3 linked regions of the Arabidopsis thaliana genome follow. The protein of the gene in region 3 interacts with the protein of the main gene of each other region in a pairwise test. Each region holds a gene or a part of one and is shown on either strand. Other genes may lie near its edges. The genes, in order: WAK3, AT2G27290 and AT3G01516.

Evidence for each region.
Region 1: the proteins of AT3G01516 (region 3) and WAK3 interact in a protein complementation assay, tested with the Arabidopsis thaliana proteins (one large-scale study listed by BioGRID).
Region 2: the proteins of AT3G01516 (region 3) and AT2G27290 interact in a protein complementation assay, tested with the Arabidopsis thaliana proteins (one large-scale study listed by BioGRID).

The regions. Positions count from the first base shown.
Region 1 is NC_003070.9:7,431,614-7,438,297, forward strand, and holds WAK3 (wall associated kinase 3), read left to right. Parts: upstream 1-2,621; 5' UTR 2,622-2,689; coding exon 2,690-3,566; intron 3,567-3,667; coding exon 3,668-3,826; intron 3,827-3,899; coding exon 3,900-5,089; 3' UTR 5,090-5,217; downstream 5,218-6,684. Other genes in the region: WAK5 (wall associated kinase 5), read left to right, coding at 1-733; AT1G21245 (Protein kinase superfamily protein), read left to right, coding at 5,229-5,729. UniProt on the Arabidopsis thaliana protein: Serine/threonine-protein kinase that may function as a signaling receptor of extracellular matrix component. Binding to pectin may have significance in the control of cell expansion, morphogenesis and development.
Region 2 is NC_003071.7:11,676,819-11,682,408, forward strand, and holds AT2G27290 (FAM210B-like protein, putative (DUF1279)), read right to left. Parts: upstream 3,102-5,590; 5' UTR 2,948-3,101; coding exon 2,711-2,947; intron 2,225-2,710; coding exon 2,027-2,224; intron 1,939-2,026; coding exon 1,768-1,938; 3' UTR 1,487-1,767; downstream 1-1,486. Other genes in the region: AT2G27285 (nuclear speckle splicing regulatory-like protein (DUF2040)), read right to left, coding at 60-278, 711-833, 921-1,079; NTL8 (NTM1-like 8), read right to left, coding at 3,599-3,973, 4,360-4,557, 4,630-4,883, 4,957-5,137.
Region 3 is NC_003074.8:202,438-209,348, reverse strand, and holds AT3G01516 (uncharacterized protein), read right to left. Parts: upstream 4,036-6,911; 5' UTR 3,605-4,035; intron 2,854-3,604; exon of another isoform or gene 1,941-2,853; 5' UTR 1,924-1,940; coding exon 1,360-1,923; 3' UTR 1,129-1,359; downstream 1-1,128. Other genes in the region: AT3G01520 (Adenine nucleotide alpha hydrolases-like superfamily protein), read right to left, coding at 128-249, 666-843; AT3G01513 (uncharacterized protein), read left to right, coding at 6,631-6,911.

The sequences.
Region 1 (6,684 bases), on a different chromosome or scaffold from region 3:
TGATCACTTGCACGGTTCTATGTTTGATTCTTCGCTTACATGGGAACACCGTCTGAGGATAGCCATAGAAGTTGCTGGAACTCTTGCATATCTTCACTCCTATGCTTCTATTCCAATCATCCACCGAGATGTCAAGACTGCTAACATTCTCCTCGATGAAAACTTAACTGCAAAAGTAGCTGATTTTGGTGCATCAAGGCTGATACCGATGGACCAAGAGCAGCTCACAACTATGGTTCAAGGAACTCTTGGCTATTTAGACCCTGAATACTACAATACAGGGCTTCTGAACGAAAAGAGCGATGTTTATAGCTTTGGGGTAGTCCTCATGGAACTGCTCTCAGGTGAAAAGGCATTATGCTTTGAACGGCCACAAAGCTCAAAACATCTAGTGAGTTACTTTGTTTCTGCCATGAAAGAAAATAGGTTGCATGAGATTATTGACGGTCAAGTTATGAACGAGTATAATCAGAGGGAGATCCAGGAATCTGCAAGAATTGCTGTTGAGTGTACAAGAATTATGGGAGAGGAAAGGCCAAGTATGAAAGAAGTAGCTGCAGAGTTAGAGGCCTTGAGAGTCAAAACAACCAAACATCAGTGGTCAGATCAATATCCCAAGGAGGTTGAGCATTTGCTTGGTGTTCAAATCTTATCGACGCAAGGTGATACCAGTAGCATTGGCTATGACAGCATCCAGAATGTAACAAGGTTGGACATTGAAACTGGCCGCTGATATTTATCAATCTTTTGTTTGTGAAAAAGTAAAGCCACTTATTTATTGCTTATGTCCTATATGTTTCCTAACACTTCAAAAAAAACAGAGTATCAAAACATGATATTCAAGAACATTTATGCTCGAGAGATCCGTTGTAGATCATCAATTATTCATTTTATAACTCCATTCGATTGGTAAGCTAACCAGTAGACGATTCGGTATGAGAAAAATTAAGAATTCATGAATCTACTAGCAGAGATATTGATATACTGTTGTGGTTGCAAAACAATAACTCGAATTTAAAGGGCTCAGTTGCTTAAAACATCCTATTTGATCCACAGCTTGACTCATATATTGTTTTGGTACTGGCATCTATAATTTAATACTGCGTTTTCTAAATTAACAAAATCATTCTTGCTGCATAAGATTGCTCTGGTTTTGAAGCCATCAAGTTTTCTTATTTTGTTAAAAATTTATGATCTTTAACCATAAGTAATATATATAGTGAAAACATGAGAAAATTTGGTGGATTCTAGAAAAGCACTCTCCGTCAACGTGATCGATATTATGATGAAATGATTACAAAGATGCAATTATATATATCCACGAGCAACAAGACGAAGACAAAAATGTAAACAAGTTAACATATGATTTTGGAATTAGATCAGTAATAAACAAACATATGCACAACTACATGAGAAGTAAAAACTAGTAAACGAGAAATCTCTAACTTAAGATGCGTGGTATGTACGTAACTCCAAAAGAACAACTTGACATTTTTTTTTTTTTTTTTTTTTTGAATGTAATGTTAAATTATATTCAAGAAAAATAACGTTTTTGATACAAGGCTTTGAAAGTATGAAAGAACAACTTGACTATTTGATAAACAACTTGACTCATATATTGCTCTGTTATTAAAATTTTAATACTGCGTTTTCTAAATTAAATTATCATTCTTGCTGCATAAGATTGTTGTGGTTTTGTAACCATCAAATTTTCCTTTTTTGTTAAAACTCTGATCTTTAGTAAATTGAGAAAGCTACCTCTACTATACCCTTAAAATCTCTAAGTCTGGTCTGTCAAAGATTATTTTAATCATCAAACAGTGTATTTTCAGTTTTTTCTCAAGATTTTCCCTCAGTTTCTTTGAATGAATCTGGTTTCTTTCGGTGAAAGAGTGCTGGTCGTAATTGAGTTTGGTTTGTAATATATTACTTAAGTGTCGTGTCTGTTAAGTTAAAGTAGTTATGTTTGTTGTGTCACAAGAAAGAAGAGTCATAACTCTTGACTTTTCATGTCTGTTGGTTTGTATTTAAGTTAATTGTTGTAAACCTTGTAAAACAGTTGTTGTATTTCACTTTCTCTATAATAGAAAGACAAGTTCTTCTCTTTATTGTTATGTTGACGATCAAACCAATTGTGATACAAAGTCTGATTCTCTTTCTCTGTTCTTAACTCTGTTCTGTTTCTAGAAGGAGATTCAGTTTCTAACAAAGTGGTGGATTTGCATGGAAATTTCTCATAGATAACCTCTTGAAGAGTAAGCAGCGACATGACACATGAGGCAAGAACTATTCAAATTCTTCGAAAACTTGTTGACATTTATAAACTCAACACACACACACACACAAAAAAACTACATATTTCTACTATTACGACAGCAGAAGAAAACAGAGCATGTTGTGATCATGATGAGTCTTATTCCTACATTGTCACTATAACGAGACTTTCATATATGAACAATAAATTGGAGTTTCCTGGAAAAATCAAGACAAGAAAGAAAGGACAGATAAAGAAGTTGACGCATTTATATTTTTCTAACGTCTAGTAGTCTGAATCTTTACTTTTCTTCACATTTGATTATTCAACAATGTCAAATCAGGGGTTACTTTTCAAGCTATAAGAAGCGAATAAGCGATGAGAGAAAACTCAAAGAGAAACAAGTTTAGAGAGAAAGAAAGAGAAAGGTAGAAGATGAAGTTCCAGGAGGGTGTGTTCTTGGTGGTTATTTTCTTCCTTGCATATACTCAGCTTGTGAAGGGGCAACATCAACCTCGCGAAGATTGTAAACTTAAATGTGGAAACGTCACAATAGAGTACCCTTTTGGTATTTCTACAGGTTGTTACTATCCCGGAGATGATAATTTCAATCTCACCTGTGTCGTGGAAGAGAAGCTACTACTCTTTGGCATCATTCAAGTGACCAATATTTCTCACAGTGGCCATGTAAGTGTACTGTTTGAACGATTCTCTGAATGCTACGAGCAGAAAAATGAGACTAATGGAACTGCCCTCGGGTATCAGCTGGGTAGTAGTTTCTCTCTCTCCTCCAACAACAAGTTTACTTTAGTAGGATGTAACGCTTTATCACTTTTGAGCACTTTTGGAAAGCAAAACTACTCAACTGGATGCTTGTCATTATGCAATTCTCAACCAGAGGCAAATGGAAGATGTAATGGTGTAGGTTGCTGCACAACAGAGGACTTCTCTGTCCCGTTCGATAGCGATACATTCCAATTTGGCTCAGTTCGCTTGAGAAACCAAGTTAATAATTCCTTAGATCTATTTAATACTTCGGTATATCAGTTTAATCCTTGCACCTACGCTTTTCTCGTTGAAGATGGTAAGTTTAACTTCGATTCTTCAAAAGATCTTAAGAATCTGAGGAATGTCACGAGGTTCCCTGTGGCACTAGATTGGTCTATTGGAAACCAGACATGTGAGCAAGCTGGAAGCACAAGAATATGCGGTAAGAACAGCTCATGTTACAATTCTACTACTAGAAACGGGTATATCTGCAAATGTAATGAAGGTTATGATGGGAATCCATACCGTTCAGAGGGTTGCAAAGGTACTTCATATTAATTTCTTTGCTTTCTTTCTTCTTTTGAGTGTTTATAATCTTCCTCATACGTTTTTGGTTGCATCTTGTGCACTTATTCCTTTGGTCAGACATCGATGAGTGTATTAGTGATACACATAACTGTTCGGATCCAAAAACCTGTAGAAACAGGGATGGAGGCTTCGATTGTAAGTGTCCATCTGGTTACGACTTAAACTCCAGTATGAGCTGCACGAGGCCCGAATACAAACGGACTCGAATTTTTCTTGGTAAACACTCTTCACTGGTTCTAGATTCTCTTTAAATCAACTCGCTCTAATCATCTATGCATGATGTTATCAGTAATCATAATCGGCGTCTTGGTCCTCCTGCTTGCTGCGATCTGTATACAACATGCAACGAAGCAAAGGAAGTATACCAAGCTCCGACGACAATTCTTTGAGCAAAATGGTGGTGGCATGTTGATACAGCGACTTTCAGGAGCAGGGTTGTCAAACATTGATTTCAAAATCTTTACTGAGGAAGGCATGAAAGAGGCAACTAATGGCTATGATGAGAGCAGAATCTTGGGCCAGGGAGGTCAAGGAACAGTCTACAAAGGGATATTGCCGGACAACACTATCGTTGCTATAAAGAAAGCTCGGCTTGCAGACAGTAGACAAGTAGATCAGTTCATCCACGAAGTGCTCGTGCTTTCACAAATTAACCACAGGAACGTGGTCAAGATCTTGGGTTGCTGTCTAGAGACTGAAGTCCCCTTGTTGGTCTATGAATTCATTACCAATGGCACCCTTTTCGATCACTTGCACGGTTCCATTTTTGATTCTTCTCTTACATGGGAACACCGCCTCAGAATAGCGATAGAAGTCGCTGGAACTCTTGCTTATCTTCACTCCTCTGCTTCTATTCCAATCATCCATCGCGATATCAAAACTGCAAATATTCTCTTGGATGAAAACTTAACTGCAAAAGTAGCCGACTTTGGCGCTTCTAAGCTTATACCAATGGATAAAGAGCAGCTCACAACTATGGTGCAAGGCACTCTAGGCTATTTAGACCCAGAATACTATACCACAGGGCTTCTGAACGAGAAGAGCGATGTGTATAGCTTTGGGGTAGTCCTCATGGAACTGCTCTCAGGTCAAAAGGCATTGTGCTTTGAACGGCCACAGGCTTCAAAACATTTGGTGAGTTACTTTGTTTCTGCCACGGAAGAGAATAGGTTGCATGAGATTATTGACGACCAAGTGTTGAACGAGGATAATCTGAAGGAGATCCAGGAAGCTGCAAGAATTGCTGCAGAGTGTACAAGGCTAATGGGAGAGGAAAGGCCAAGGATGAAAGAAGTAGCTGCAAAGCTAGAAGCCTTGAGGGTCGAGAAAACCAAACATAAGTGGTCGGATCAGTATCCTGAGGAGAATGAACACTTGATTGGTGGTCACATCTTGTCTGCACAAGGCGAAACCAGTAGCAGCATTGGCTATGATAGCATCAAAAATGTAGCAATATTGGACATTGAAACTGGCCGCTGATATTGCTCACAAAATCACATGTATCTCTTTTGTTTGTAAAAAAAGAAAACCACTTATTTGTTGCTTCATCAATATGCTTTGAGAGCTTGTTTGTTCATCATCAATAATCATGTTCATATTTTCCTTTACTTGGTATACTATGGTGCAAGGCACTCTAGGCTATTTAGACCCAGAATACTATACCACAGGGCTTCTGAACGAGAAGAGCGATGTGTATAGCTTTGGGGTAGTCCTCATGGAACTGCTCTCAGGTCAAAAGGCATTGTGCTTTGAACGGCCACAGGCTTCAAAACATTTGGTGAGTTACTTTGTTTCTGCCACGGAAGAGAATAGGTTGCATGAGATTATTGACGACCAAGTGTTGAACGAGGATAATCTGAAGGAGATCCAGGAAGCTGCAAGAATTGCTGCAGAGTGTACAAGGCTAATGGGAAAAGAAAGGCCAAGGATGAAAGAAGTAGCTGTAGAGCTAGAAACTTTGAGCGTCAAAACAACCAAACATAATTGGTCGGATCAGTATCGAGAGGAGAATTTACACTTGCTTGGTAGCAACATCGTGTCTTCCCAAGGCGATACCAATAGCCGTGGTTATGACAGCGTCAAGAATGTAGCATTGCTTGACATTGAAGCTGGCCGCTGATAAATTTTGTTTGTTAAAAAGTATATTGTTTAATTCTTTATTGTTTATCTCCTTTTGTCTTTATAAACATAACCAGAATATCAAAACATGACATTCAAAAACATTGATATCCTTGTAGATCATCCATATATACTCATGTTCACAATTCTCCTATATTTTTATATGCTAACCAGTAGCTGATTAGGTATTAGAAAAACTACCTAGAGTTCATAAATATGATTCCATACGACATTAATATATCATTGTGCTTAATTATAAAGAAAAACAAAACAACTCGAGAAGAAAAAACACTAGAATTTAAAGTAGGCGTCAAAAACAGAGGAGAGTAAGTATACTATGAATATGATCATCGAAATCTTCAGCACCTGGTCGAGTTCATCGTAGATACCGCTTCCTCAAACCAAACCATATGATTCTTTGTTAGTTGCTTGGTAAACTAAAAAAATAAAAGACTCATTTGGTGCAAACTTCATATTTGATCTACAGCTTGAGTCATCATGTTTCGTTACTCATCTACAACCCATCATTCTTGTTGCATAAGATTGCTTGATATTGTATATCACATCAAATCTCTTAATTTGTTTCTTGTTAAAATATATGATTTTTAGTAAGTGTTAGTCAGCAATCCTACGATTATTGGCAGGTTAGTCACCAATCAAAGCATGATCACTTGTTGTCTACTTCCATTTGATTACCCCAATTCATGTTTATTGACTTACTAATAATACCAAGCACGTATTCAGACTAAAATTATCTTAGAACCAACTTCAGTGGATGAAGATAAAAGTTGGGGAAAGTGCAGACTCAAATATTAAAGGAATCTCAATTCTCAGTTTTAACTTTTACTTGTATGTTTGGTAATGCTTTTACCTTTGGTTGCATGCTGCAAAAGTGATTTACTCTGTCCCAAGACTGAACTTCAACTTGTGTATATGATTCAATTAGACAAAGGGAG
Region 2 (5,590 bases), on a different chromosome or scaffold from region 3:
TAGACGAGAGAGATAGAAACACAAACATGAAATAAAATGAACAAGGAAACAGAACTTACATCATCTCTTTCCTCACGAAGTTCACGCAATCTTTCTTCTGCCAGCCATTTCTTTTGTTCCTCAAGTTTCCTTTTATAAGCGCCAGTAACAAACTTTTCTTTATCCGAAAAAAGATGTTCGTCTTTCTCCCTCTCTTTCGCAAGCTTTCTCTCATAAACTATCTCATGTTCTTTCTCTCTACGTTCTGCCTGTTTCATCAAATTCTGTATATACCTTGGCTGCAATTAGAAAAAGAAAACTAAATGAAACATAAGCAATCCAATAAGTCATTCTGAAACCTAATTAAAGTGCCCCAACTACAGAGAATGTAACACCATAAGAAACTACTAAAACTGACGCATGTAGAGGCTCAGAAACTTCACCTCTACTTAACTAAAACAAAGTAACTAAGCTTTACACTTTTTGGTAACTATATGTAGCCATGGGTTATAGGCTGGTAGTTGTTAGGGTATTGCAGGATATCAAGATTTTGGTGGTTTCTAAGGGTAATAAGAAAATCCAGCTAAGTTATGGCTTCCTATACTTCAATCATATGATAAACCAAGCCCGACACAGATCATAGATTCCTCTTAAGAACATGGAAACATAGATTTTGATTCCCTAAGCTACAGAAGCTTCAAGTCTTAAGCTCTCTAAGAGATAAACATTACCTTGCGTTCTTCACGATCTTGCATTCGAGGAAGAACAGCTTTCTGTTTCATATCATCATAAACTTCATCATATGAAAAAGCAGAAGGATCCTCCTCTAAGGCTTTCTTATGCTGCTCCTCAATCTAAAACACACAATCACTTATCAAGCAGATCAAATTGAAGGAAATATAAGAAACAAGAACTCGAGTCAGTGGAGGAAAAAAGCTTACTTCTTTATGAGCTTTGGTCTTTGTTGCTTGACGAGAAATCTCCTTCTCGACGTCGTGATCTTCTTCTTCATCAAATATTGAAGCGGGTCGAAGTGGAGGTCGAGATGATGATTGTTTTTTCTGGGAAGGAGCTCTGATTTGCAATCCGTACTTCTTCATCTTCGATTTCTATTCCAGGAGCAACAAACTTCTGCAAAATCGATTGAAAATTAGCGCAATTCCTGCGAAGTCCCAGATTCTGGAAAAACACTAATCAAACCCAAGCATGAAATAGGTAGATTTCGCTGTAGAATCGATTAGGGTTACAATTCACAAAAGTTGATTGGTGTGATTTTCCCAGGATTAAGGAATTTAGTAATCCATGGAAGAAAGTGAAAGAGGAAGGGAGGAGATAAAAAGATCCAATTAACTATAGATGGTATAGATGATTACGGCCCAATTGTTACGGCCCAATGTTTTCATATTTTGATGGGCCGAGATAATGAGGTTCTAGAGTACAAGTTAAAATGCATCACCAAAACGATCGAGGTCATATGCTCTGGATCACAGAGATCATTCCCAACCATTTGACAACTACTTCTCCCACTTACCAAATGTCTAGAGGTTAGTGAATCGTGAAGTCGTAATTTCCAACCAACCACATATTAAATAGACAAGTCTAAAACTATATCACAACTTGGATTCTGCCACTCTTTGGTTCTGTATCTTTCTAACTCATCATCATATTCAGATATGCTTCAATCTTTTTTGTACATACAAGGTAGAGAAGTGAGGATTGTACAGGATTATGTATGTTGATTATCAAGTAATATATAGAACATCTACATTATAATACCTCCAAAGTAAGCTACTTGTCATCATCCTTCTCCTTGTCCACTTTCTTCCCAATCCAATTGGCTACAATAGGAGTCAAAGCCACTGTAGGCGGAAACCTTATCGGAGATGCAGCTTTATGCGCTGCGTAAGCCAAAGCAAAGGCTCCTACTTTCTCTCCTGTCTCATTCGTCGAAATCCCAACCTTAAACACAAAACATCAAAATCAGCTTTACTCAACCCAAGATCAAGAAAACATAAACTTAGTATGATCAAGAAGTGAAAGTAGTAACCTTTAGAAGAAGAGCTTGAACATCAACACCGGAAGTCACAAGGACATAGCAGAGTGAGAAGGAAATGAGAGAAAGAGTAATAGATGTAGCGAGATAAGCACCACCATACTTTGCAAGTAACTCTTTAGCCTCATCTGTTTTTGATTTCTTCTTCTTATTGTCTCCATCACTTCCTTCATCATCCTTAGAGCTTAATATCTAATCACAAGTCCATCCAAAACACCATTTTACTACACAAAAACTTCCATAGATTCTACAACTTCCAAAAATGCTCCAAACTAACCAATCACATATGCTCACTTGTTGATAAAAAAAAACACCATTTTAGCATAGTTAAAAGCTTACATAACTTCTACAACTACCACGAAAACGATCATATCTACTCACATAATCATCTAAACACCATTTTAGTACCCTTAGAAGCTTCCATAGCTTCAACAACTACAAAATTGCTCACATAATCATACAAAACACCATTTTAGTTACACTTAAAGCTTCAATAGCTTCTACTAATACCAAAATTGCTCTGAATTAGCCTATCATTCAGCTCAGAAACAATCATATGTCCTCACATGTTCATCCAAAAACACTATTTTACTTACACTTAAAGCTTCCATAGCGATAGAATCATCAATTTTAGATTACGAATTAAAACGAGAAATTGCGCAATCGAATTGATTTTACCTTCCATAGACCAACTTCAAGGCCATATTTCTTGGTAACTTCTTCGGCGGAAGGAGGAGGAGGAGAAGAAGACGGCGGCGAAATGTTCTTATCAATGTCCTCCGCCTTCTCACGGACGGCTCTGCATCTGAATTTCTTCGAGGAAGCTGAAACTGAAGAGTGGAAGAATCGGATTTGAAGGTTTCTGGTGTTCAACAAGGAAGACGAAGGAGGAATTTGCAGAAGCATCATCGCCATTGTTTTTTTCAGCCACCAAAAAAAACAGAAAGCAAATCTTTTCACCTTATTATTTTTATTTATTGTATGACACACAATTATTTTTTATTTTTTTCTGAAGGTATACCATTTGTTGTATTAGAGGTTCCAGAGTAATCTTTTACATATATAAAACTTTAATATAGTATAAAAAATCCATAAGTAAGAAAAATATTTTTAGACTATTTTATAAATATAAAAAACTACAAACAACATTTGTTTGATTCTCAGGCGTTTATATTTTGAACTGAAACTTTTGTATATCTAAACATAGTCTAAAATAATTTATTTTACTTATGGATTTTGTATAATTTATTACAATTGTATATAACTAAGAATATCACTTTGCAATCTCTAATACAACAAACAGCAAAACTTAAGGAAATGGTGGTATTATTCACATTTACTATATGTGAAATTTGTTGTCTCTATTTTCACGGAACTATCATCTCTTTCCCAAAGCTTTCACCCAGATTATAAAGGTTTACTATCCGAAAATATTCTCTTTTCCATAAAAATTTTGGTTTGTACACAAGTTTGAATAATTGTTAAGACTAGCTCAACATGCCATATTGCCATAGACCAAATACTATATTTATTTATGTATAAATAATATGTATGTCGTAACTAGCTTTAGTTCCTAGCTATTAATACAGTCCAAAAGAAAGAAAATAAGATAGCCAAGAAAACAGTAGTGGCCAGAACATTCTTCATCAATCTCTGGCTATCATCTTTCTTGATTTTGAACGGGTTCGGGAATCTCCAGCTGGAGTCGGTTCCGGCAACGTTCTTGATCCTGAACAAAGCGTAACAATTCATTGTTTCCGTTGATTCTTTTTTTATACCACATTTTGACCTCTTACTCGATGACTCGCTTGATATTGTTTCTTGATGAGTTGGATTAGTTGGTCGAAACGCTTGGCTAGCTTTCAACGCTTCTTCGTCGAGCTTTATTATATCATCGTTCAGAATCTCGGCGTAACAATCATCATCGGTATCGGCCTGATCCTGCATCGCAATAGAAAGAGATCAACTTCAGTTACAAACTCTAAACTCTACCAGTACAAGAAAACTAAGGATGTTCAGCCCAAGTGTTGGTTTAGTCTATTGAGTTATAATATTAGTAGCCAAAATAAAAACCAAACATTGGATATATTGGTTTGTTACGTTTTAAGTTTAGAATCTGCTTTAGTAAAATAACAACTTTAGTGAAATCTAATGTACTATGAATCCGTTATAGTATGGTACTATGGTGTTGGTTTGGTTTTAGTTTCTTAATCGGTTCTGTTTTCGGAACTATATTGAATTTAATGTGGTTTCGATTAAGATTGGAGCGGATAATTTTACCAGTATTAAACATCGTTAAAAGACACATTCCTCAAAAGCAAGCTGACCTCAACAACATTTGATGATTCTGCGATGTCACCATTTGGTATCTGATGCTCAGATTCATAGTAGGATTTGTCCTCCTTCTCCAAACCACCTCTTTGGCCAACGTAGCCATCGTCTTGCACAACACCATCCTCCATTTTTTGGGTCGAACTAGCCCGAAAATCAGCATTTTTTCTTAACCGGCACACCACTAATGCATCCTGTGAAATCCAAATTTCAATATATCTCAAAACATTAAAACTCAACCTATTCAAAATGAAAGTTTTAAGAACCTGTGGGGCTCCATGGATGCAGTATTCATGCATAATCCACTCCGTTCTCTCGCCACGAGGAGCCCGACCGATATGAAATACAAGCGTTCTCTTGGTTCCAACAACTTGGTTCCCGGATTTAACACTCCGCTCTTTACCGGTCGCTTTCCAATATCCTAGCTGTGTGGCTCGCCGGCTTTGTGACCCGTGCGGGTACTTCCTCCCCCTCGCGCAGAAGTAAAACCACTCGTTCTCCGATTTCAGTTTCGATTCCTCTGTTTTATAGGCACAAACATTCAAATTAGTGAACCAAAGTAAACATAAAGAGAAAGAAAACCGAAGTAAAACCTGGCAAGTCCCACGGCTCGAACTTGTAAATCTCGACCTCAGCAATCACAGCAACAGAGTTCTCATCACCATCGATTTTACGACGAAGATAGTACGAGATAAGTTCAACATCAGTAGGAGAGAATCTAAAACCAGGGAACAAAGCCGACACCGCGATCGACATCTCAGCTTCTTTAGACATTGTTTGATCTTTTTGGCTCAGGAACTCGAAAATACTTTGCTTTAGATGAAGAAACATGCCTTATAAATGGCAAGTGTGCAGCTACTTTGCTTCGGGTAAAGGTTTTGTGTTTTTTGATATTTGGCGGCTTCAGAGGGAAAAAGGATGACGTGGACAATGACTGTAAGAATTGGGCGAATAACAGAAGAGTGTAATGAGATAGTAAAGGACAAAAATGATAACGTGGTTATGTATTATTGGACAGAACTCAAACCCAGCTCTGAAGTTCTCTCATTGATGCTTAATAAATCGTCTCTTCATTTTTAAACACGTGTTTCGATATCTTCCTCGGTGTTTGTACCCCGCATGCCAATAAGTTTTTGTTTTTGTTTTTTTGGGTGTAATAACTTATCAAAATGAATTTTTGTTTTTGACGGCAATCAAAATGAATTTAAATCACTTTGTAATTATTTT
Region 3 (6,911 bases):
GCACAGCTAGAATTTAATCATAAAACATCACAAAGTTACAGTAGTTGCAATGAGATACAAAACAAAGAAGTTCATAGACACAGCGGAGGATAACTTGATTTGAGCTAAAAAGAGAGAGTGTGTTTACCCCAATCTCATGACATTTATTAACGAAAAACTCGAGAAGGTGAAGACCTTTTGCCTTGTTAGATTGTCTCATGTCTCGGAAATCCTCAGGGGAAGCATAAATGCTATCCACGTCATCAAAACCTGGTTTCCAAGTCACAAACAAAACAGGCCTTAATAACACCACAAGAGAGAAACTAAGCAAAACACATTGTTCTGACTCAAAGCGAGAAACAGAACAAAACAAATATCACGAAAGAGTCATCTCCTCTTCTAAACATATAACCGAGAAAAGTCCAATACAAGCTAACACATCCTCTTCAAATGTAACATCAAAATCCGAACAAAAGTTTGTCCAGAAGAGATAATCTCAACGACCAACCGACACTACTAGTAACAAAAAAGCACAGTCGATCCTTCTCGGTCAAAACTCAGAGACATATGCAGACCGATCTATATATACGACATCATCGTCCAAAACTAAGATCATGATTTCCCACAAACAGACATACGCACGAACATATTCAAAGATAAATAAATATTTAAGGAGAGAGAAGAACCGTCTTCGTCGACGACTTGTACGTGGAGCAAGAGAATCTTGAAATCGGAAGTGTTGGACCTTACGATCTTCTCCAGAGTCCATTCGAATGCTCTTTTGCAGCTAATCGAAGGGTTAGGATAGTCTTTGATCGTCGAAGCGTTCACCGCCACCATCACTTTTGTTGGCTCGCTCCCCATTTTTCGCCAAATCTTCGTATCTCTGCTCCAATTCTCGGATGATGACGATGAAGCTCTTAAGGAAAACAATCTTGCTCAGTTGGGGGAAGAAGACAAAGAACCCTTCGCCCACGACGTGTCTATGCGTCTTTTAGCAAATGAATTTCATAAGCATGCTAAAATGCGCAGGTTTTTTCTGTTACAGGACAGCTAGCTACGCCTACCAAGTTCTATCGTAAATGTCCTAAACTACCCTTTAATGCGGTTCATGTGAAAGCCCTTTAACAAGGGCCCAAATGTATATTAGCCCATTTCTATAATATAATGTACTCTCTTATTTCACAAATACTTTTTGTTTCCTTAATCCTTATGAGTTACATGTTGCACTAAAACCTCTATAAATTAATACTTGTGTAATCTTTTTTTTTTTTTCTATGCATACTTGTGGAATCTTACTTGCTGCACTAAAGAATTTCACAAAATCTATTTTTAGTTTTGGTAATCATATACGCCTAATAATTAAAAGTTCATCTATTATCATTGATGAATGCCAGTGAAGGAGACTCTACCAAAGCCAAGATGCCCAATCTGATACAACTCTAACCAAACTCTCTCTGCTTCCACTCTCGCACTTATTCTCGTCTCTTCCTCTTCTTTTAACGACGCCGTTTTGGCTTCCTCTTTGGTCAAACTCCCGTCTCTTTCCACCACAAACCGATGGTCATCGAACTCTCCATCTCCATCTCCGCCACCGCAACATCCACCACTCACCATCTCGGCCGACCTCCTGTGGTGGTGATGGTGATGAAACCGATCCTCACGGTTGATTTTCTTCATCCGCTTCTTACTCGGGCCACCACGGCCGATACATTTCCGGCCTATCATCCACGGGACCTTAACAAAGGCGAGAGTGAAGATGTTCACCACGGCGCAGGGACAACAGCAGAGCGCCACGCAGTCAGCGATCGCCGCCGCCGCCCAAGACCGGCACCTTTTCCCGGAGCATCTGGCTCTCGGCTCTTCATCGGCTCCTTGACTCCAGTGGGATCCACTCTGGTCTTTACGTGAAACTCGATGCGACTTTTGGTTTTCCTCCTCCATTTTAAAATTTTATATACCTGCCAAAAAAATAGAGAAAGAGAACAAAGCTTACTAACTTATATAAATACATCACACTCCTATATGCATTCACATATACAGATTTTTGTCCATATATATATGTAACATGTTGATGGTAAAAAGAGAGATATATAGGAAACAGCAACCAAGATTTTTCCCATGCACTTTAACTTATTGACCAGACAGTTTCAGGTGCATTCAAACCCCACTCACGCTCCCACTTTGGCGCGTGTAAACCACATACGCTGACTCACGTTTTTCGAATTTTTTTTGCGTCGACTAGAATTTTGTCCTAGTGCTTTTTTATGTCCCAATGTCACGATTTTGTCTATTTCAATTTTCAAATTGAGATTGGTTTGATCAGGTGGCGAATGAGAGGATTTGAACGAGCGCGTGGGATATGAATCTGAATCTTTTTTGTTGGCTAGGGGAATTAATATTATTTTTAGTGGAGTTTTGCATATTTTATTTTTGGCTCTTTATGGTAAAATCTGATGGTAACGTACATTTTTTTATTTTACATAGTCCCTCCCTATAGCTTTTTTCAAAACTTTAATTTTCAGCCTAAAATTTAAGGCTACAAGAGTAAAAGAAAACTTGTAATAAAATTAAGAGACGGTCTTATTGTTAAAATAATGAGATATCAGTGAGATAACGTGGACTATAGTGCGGGAGATCATATATCTCACATGGGTTTGCCGGGTCTTAGCATGGCCCAATTACGTGGCCCATTACAAATCTACAGCTAAATAATATACAATGCAAAACAAAACAAAAATATTTTTAAAAATATATATTATTTTATTGTTATTAATTAATGTGACAAAAGAAACAAGGTCTACAATAGTAATAATAATCTAGTAGGATTCCCTAGGATTTTAAAACGATTAGATTTGTAATAATGATTTTTCTTTTATTTGTCAAAACATTGTAATGATTTATAATATGTGACAGCATTAACAAGAAGAATAAGTATTTTGAAAATATATATAAAACGGTTTATTTTTCGATATGTTACTAACAAAAAGAAATTTAAGGGTAAACGTACGATTGACCCTTTTTCACTTGTATAAGGTAATCGTACACATTAAAGCCTAGTCAAAATTCAAATTTTGATCTGCGTTGTAGAATTAATAAGACTGACGTATGTATATAGTACGAAGCCAATACAGTTTGTATATATATATATAGATAGATATATATCGTCATTTTGTTTTGTCGAAGGAGAACTTGATGCAAAAATCAACATTGACACACCGGACAAACGTAAGATAGTGCACACTATATATTCTGTGTAGTCTATATAAAGAAAAAAAAACACAAACTGCCCATTTGATTTATGGTGAGACACTCTTATGCATAGCTAGATGAAACACTATATGTTTAACTAGGTGTAACATATAACAAAACGTGTAATATGTAAGTTTGAACCCGAAAATTATCATAAATCTTATTCTTATAAATTGAAACGCCTATTTAACGGAGAATTCAAAATGTATTTTGTGCAACTACTAACTAAACTAGATTATCTATCAAAGTTTAGTTATAAATATATATATATATATAAAAAAGTCTCAAAAAAAATCATCCATTTTAGCATTTAAATATGATAAGGATCTAAGCGAGACAACAAGCAATGGAGAATGATCAAATGGTTACATACCTTTGTTTTCTTGTCGACTAATTAATTAACCTACTCAAAAGCCACAGATCCTGTATTCCTTTTTGAAACTCTTCTCTGCATGGAGAGAACAACAACAAAAACCCAGATTTGTTATCGTGGTCTATAGTAAAAGTTTCTGTTTTAAATTGATGTTCTAATGAGCTTGAGAAGAGAAAGAGAAGAAGAAGCTCGTAACAACCAAAAAGATCAAGAAAGAAGAAGAAGAAGAAGAAGAAGAAAGATGTGATCTGATCTATAAATACACATTATATTATATCTTCGATTAATTAGAGCTTCTCTTTTCTATGTTTATCTTTTGAAAATCATTTCTCTCTCTCTCTCTCTGGTCTCATGAGCATACACTATACAGACTAATATGTATAATGGTCTGACATGAATATTTTAATCCAGTTAGAGCAGCTACAAAAGCTCTCTTAAAGCATCAATATTCTACACATATGAACATATACCTATATATCATGTGAATTTAGTAGATAAATATCCTCCGAAAGATAAAAATTATTATTTTTTTAAGTACAACTAATGAGTAGTAATTTTATGAAATTTACAGTTAAAATTTCTTAAACAATTCAGATTAAAATCCTCAAGTGGGTACCGGGTATAAAACAATACAAAATTACATAATACAGTAATTAGTTGGAAACGGGTTTACAGGAAATATCGTAACTTTGTGTTTGATGAGTCCCGAAGACAGAGAGAATCAACTTATGGGAACTCGGCCCCTGATCATGTGCATTCCTATGCAATTCGTTCTTTATTCTTTTTTTTTTTTTTTTCTATATAAACAATTGATAAACGAACTAAAAGACCCCCTCTTTTGAACAATTTACAATTTATAGTAACATGACACTCCAAATTACTCTCTTTAAATTAGTCTCATATATAGTAAAAACTGAACTTTATGTGAGCCACTTGGATATTTTTATATGTAGAATGATCATATATGTCAACGAGATTAGTAGGAGTATTTAGGAGTTCTAAAAATTTAATATGGATTTTATGTACTTGCGCATAACTTTACGTAGACTAAATAAACAGTTTCTCAAATTAACTGTATTATTTGTCGTGGTTTTCAAAATCTGTAATAAGCAGCGGCGTTGACGCCTTTTTCCCTCTTATGTTTGCTGCCTTTAGAAGCACTTTGCTTGAGCCCATGCACGTGCGATGCTGCGAAGAATCACGTGCGCCGGGCTCAAAGGCCGCCACGTCGATGCTCCTCTTTAATTCTTTAGGTAACAAAGTTTTCACCGTCCAACTGTCAGTATGTCAGTGACACGTACGCACACACCCAACGGTCTTCTTGCAACAAGAGTCGCGTTCTCATTCTGCTGCGTTTGCGTCACTGACCGCAATATCTTCTTCCGTTTTGGACACAGAGTATGTAATGTAATGACACGTTCTCCTTTTTTGGTTGACTTTAAGAAGTCAACGGCGTTAGCTGTACGTGTGTTGTGGACCGCATTTGGATAACCCGTAATACAAGTAATTTTATTAATCACGGACAATATACTATAATGCAACTAGTCGATCTTTGTCAAATTACTGGTTTTGATATGTGTGACACTAATATGTTCATAACTTCATATATACGCGTTCCACGGCCGGTGACGGACTCCATTATGAATATTCTTCTTAAATTTAAACTTATATGCATTGGACCAGAAGATGCATGTTGACAAAAGAAAGTGATCAGAAAGCATAGAAGAGACCAAATAAGTTGGTTTAGTCGAATACGTATTCAATTCATGTTAAAAAAAAAAATCAAATATACAAATATAATCATTGTCATGATTAATCACACATGAGAAAATTGATATTTGATAGCACAAAACATCCCCATTTCTGCATTTCTGGTTTTTGTTGGTTCTTCTGTTAAACTCTTAATGCTTAAAGCAAATATGGAGATGTTGATCTGATTTAATTAGTAGTAACCCGAAACTGCGAAGAATTAGCTCCGGAGAAGGCCGGCCCTGAATTTGGGCAAATTTGGGCTTGATTAGGCTACAAATAGTATGTTCAAACTCGAACTGAAAACATTAATTAGACTCTATTAAAAAATGACTATGGTTAAGCTGCCAACTCATTGCTCCACATGAAATTGAGAAATGTAACATGGAGATCGATCTTTATATAATATTTAGTGATAATTAAAAGAAGCAATCTTTGGATTATTCTTCGAAGAATATGACAGATTACAATTCCAACAGCAATGTTTAATTTATATGGCAGAACATGCCAATATGGACTTCAATGTTGCTATTCGTTGGGAAATGGATATTGGCATGTGGTACAATTATTTAATCATGCTTGTTTCTATGCCTAATTTTATCAAATAAGAATGTTAATTTGGCCTTGAGTCATTTGTCAGGGAGATTTTAGTGCCGACGGGTTCAAAAGACAATATGTTTATTGCAAAGTTGTTATAGCAAGGTTCGGAAAAGTCATTTATAAATTCGCTAAAAGTTGCGTTTGATTAAATTATGCTTATTTTGTTTAATCTTAGAGGATAACAACTATTGGACTCCTAGTGAAAGTGAAACATATGATAACTAATTTATTTTAGTTATTTTGACTAATCATTTGTTTGTAACTGTTAAACTTGGAAATTATTCAGCAAAAAAACATTTCTTGTATTTGCAAAGTCACAGAATATGATGAATAGGTTTTATTATAATAGAATAAATCACGAGTTCACACAATTCTTTAAAGAATTACAGAAATCGTAAAATGATTATGCCAAATCTGATTTCACGTCTAACATATTTGGTTGGTTGATAAGAATAAAATCATACTTTAGGTTACCCCCTCATCGTCAGCATTGACGTTTATAATTTCAATATTCTCATAAACAAATACCTCGAAAGCGACCACGTTTTATCGCCTAGTATTGACGAACAAGCTAACTAAACCACTCCCACATGTTACATGTAATGACATTATATATACAGACACATAGACACAGCAAGTTTACAGGGACGCGAATCGTAAACAAGACGTAAAAAACAATGCAGGATTTTTCTTCAACGGTGTCGTATAGCCCAAGCTTCAGTTACTACGCTTCCGGTGAATTCGCCGCCGCTGCAGTTAAAGTTTCCCGCGAAAACGAAAGCTACAATATCAGAGATCATGAGTCCGTTAAAGTCAACTCCGTCAATGACGAAGACGTTGACTTCGAGTTTGAAACGTCGCCGTTACATGAAGAAACCTTCGTCCACTTCCCGACGTTCAAAACCAACGTCGTTTCCACTACTAACAAGACAGACAAAGAAGCCGCCGCTGAAAAAAT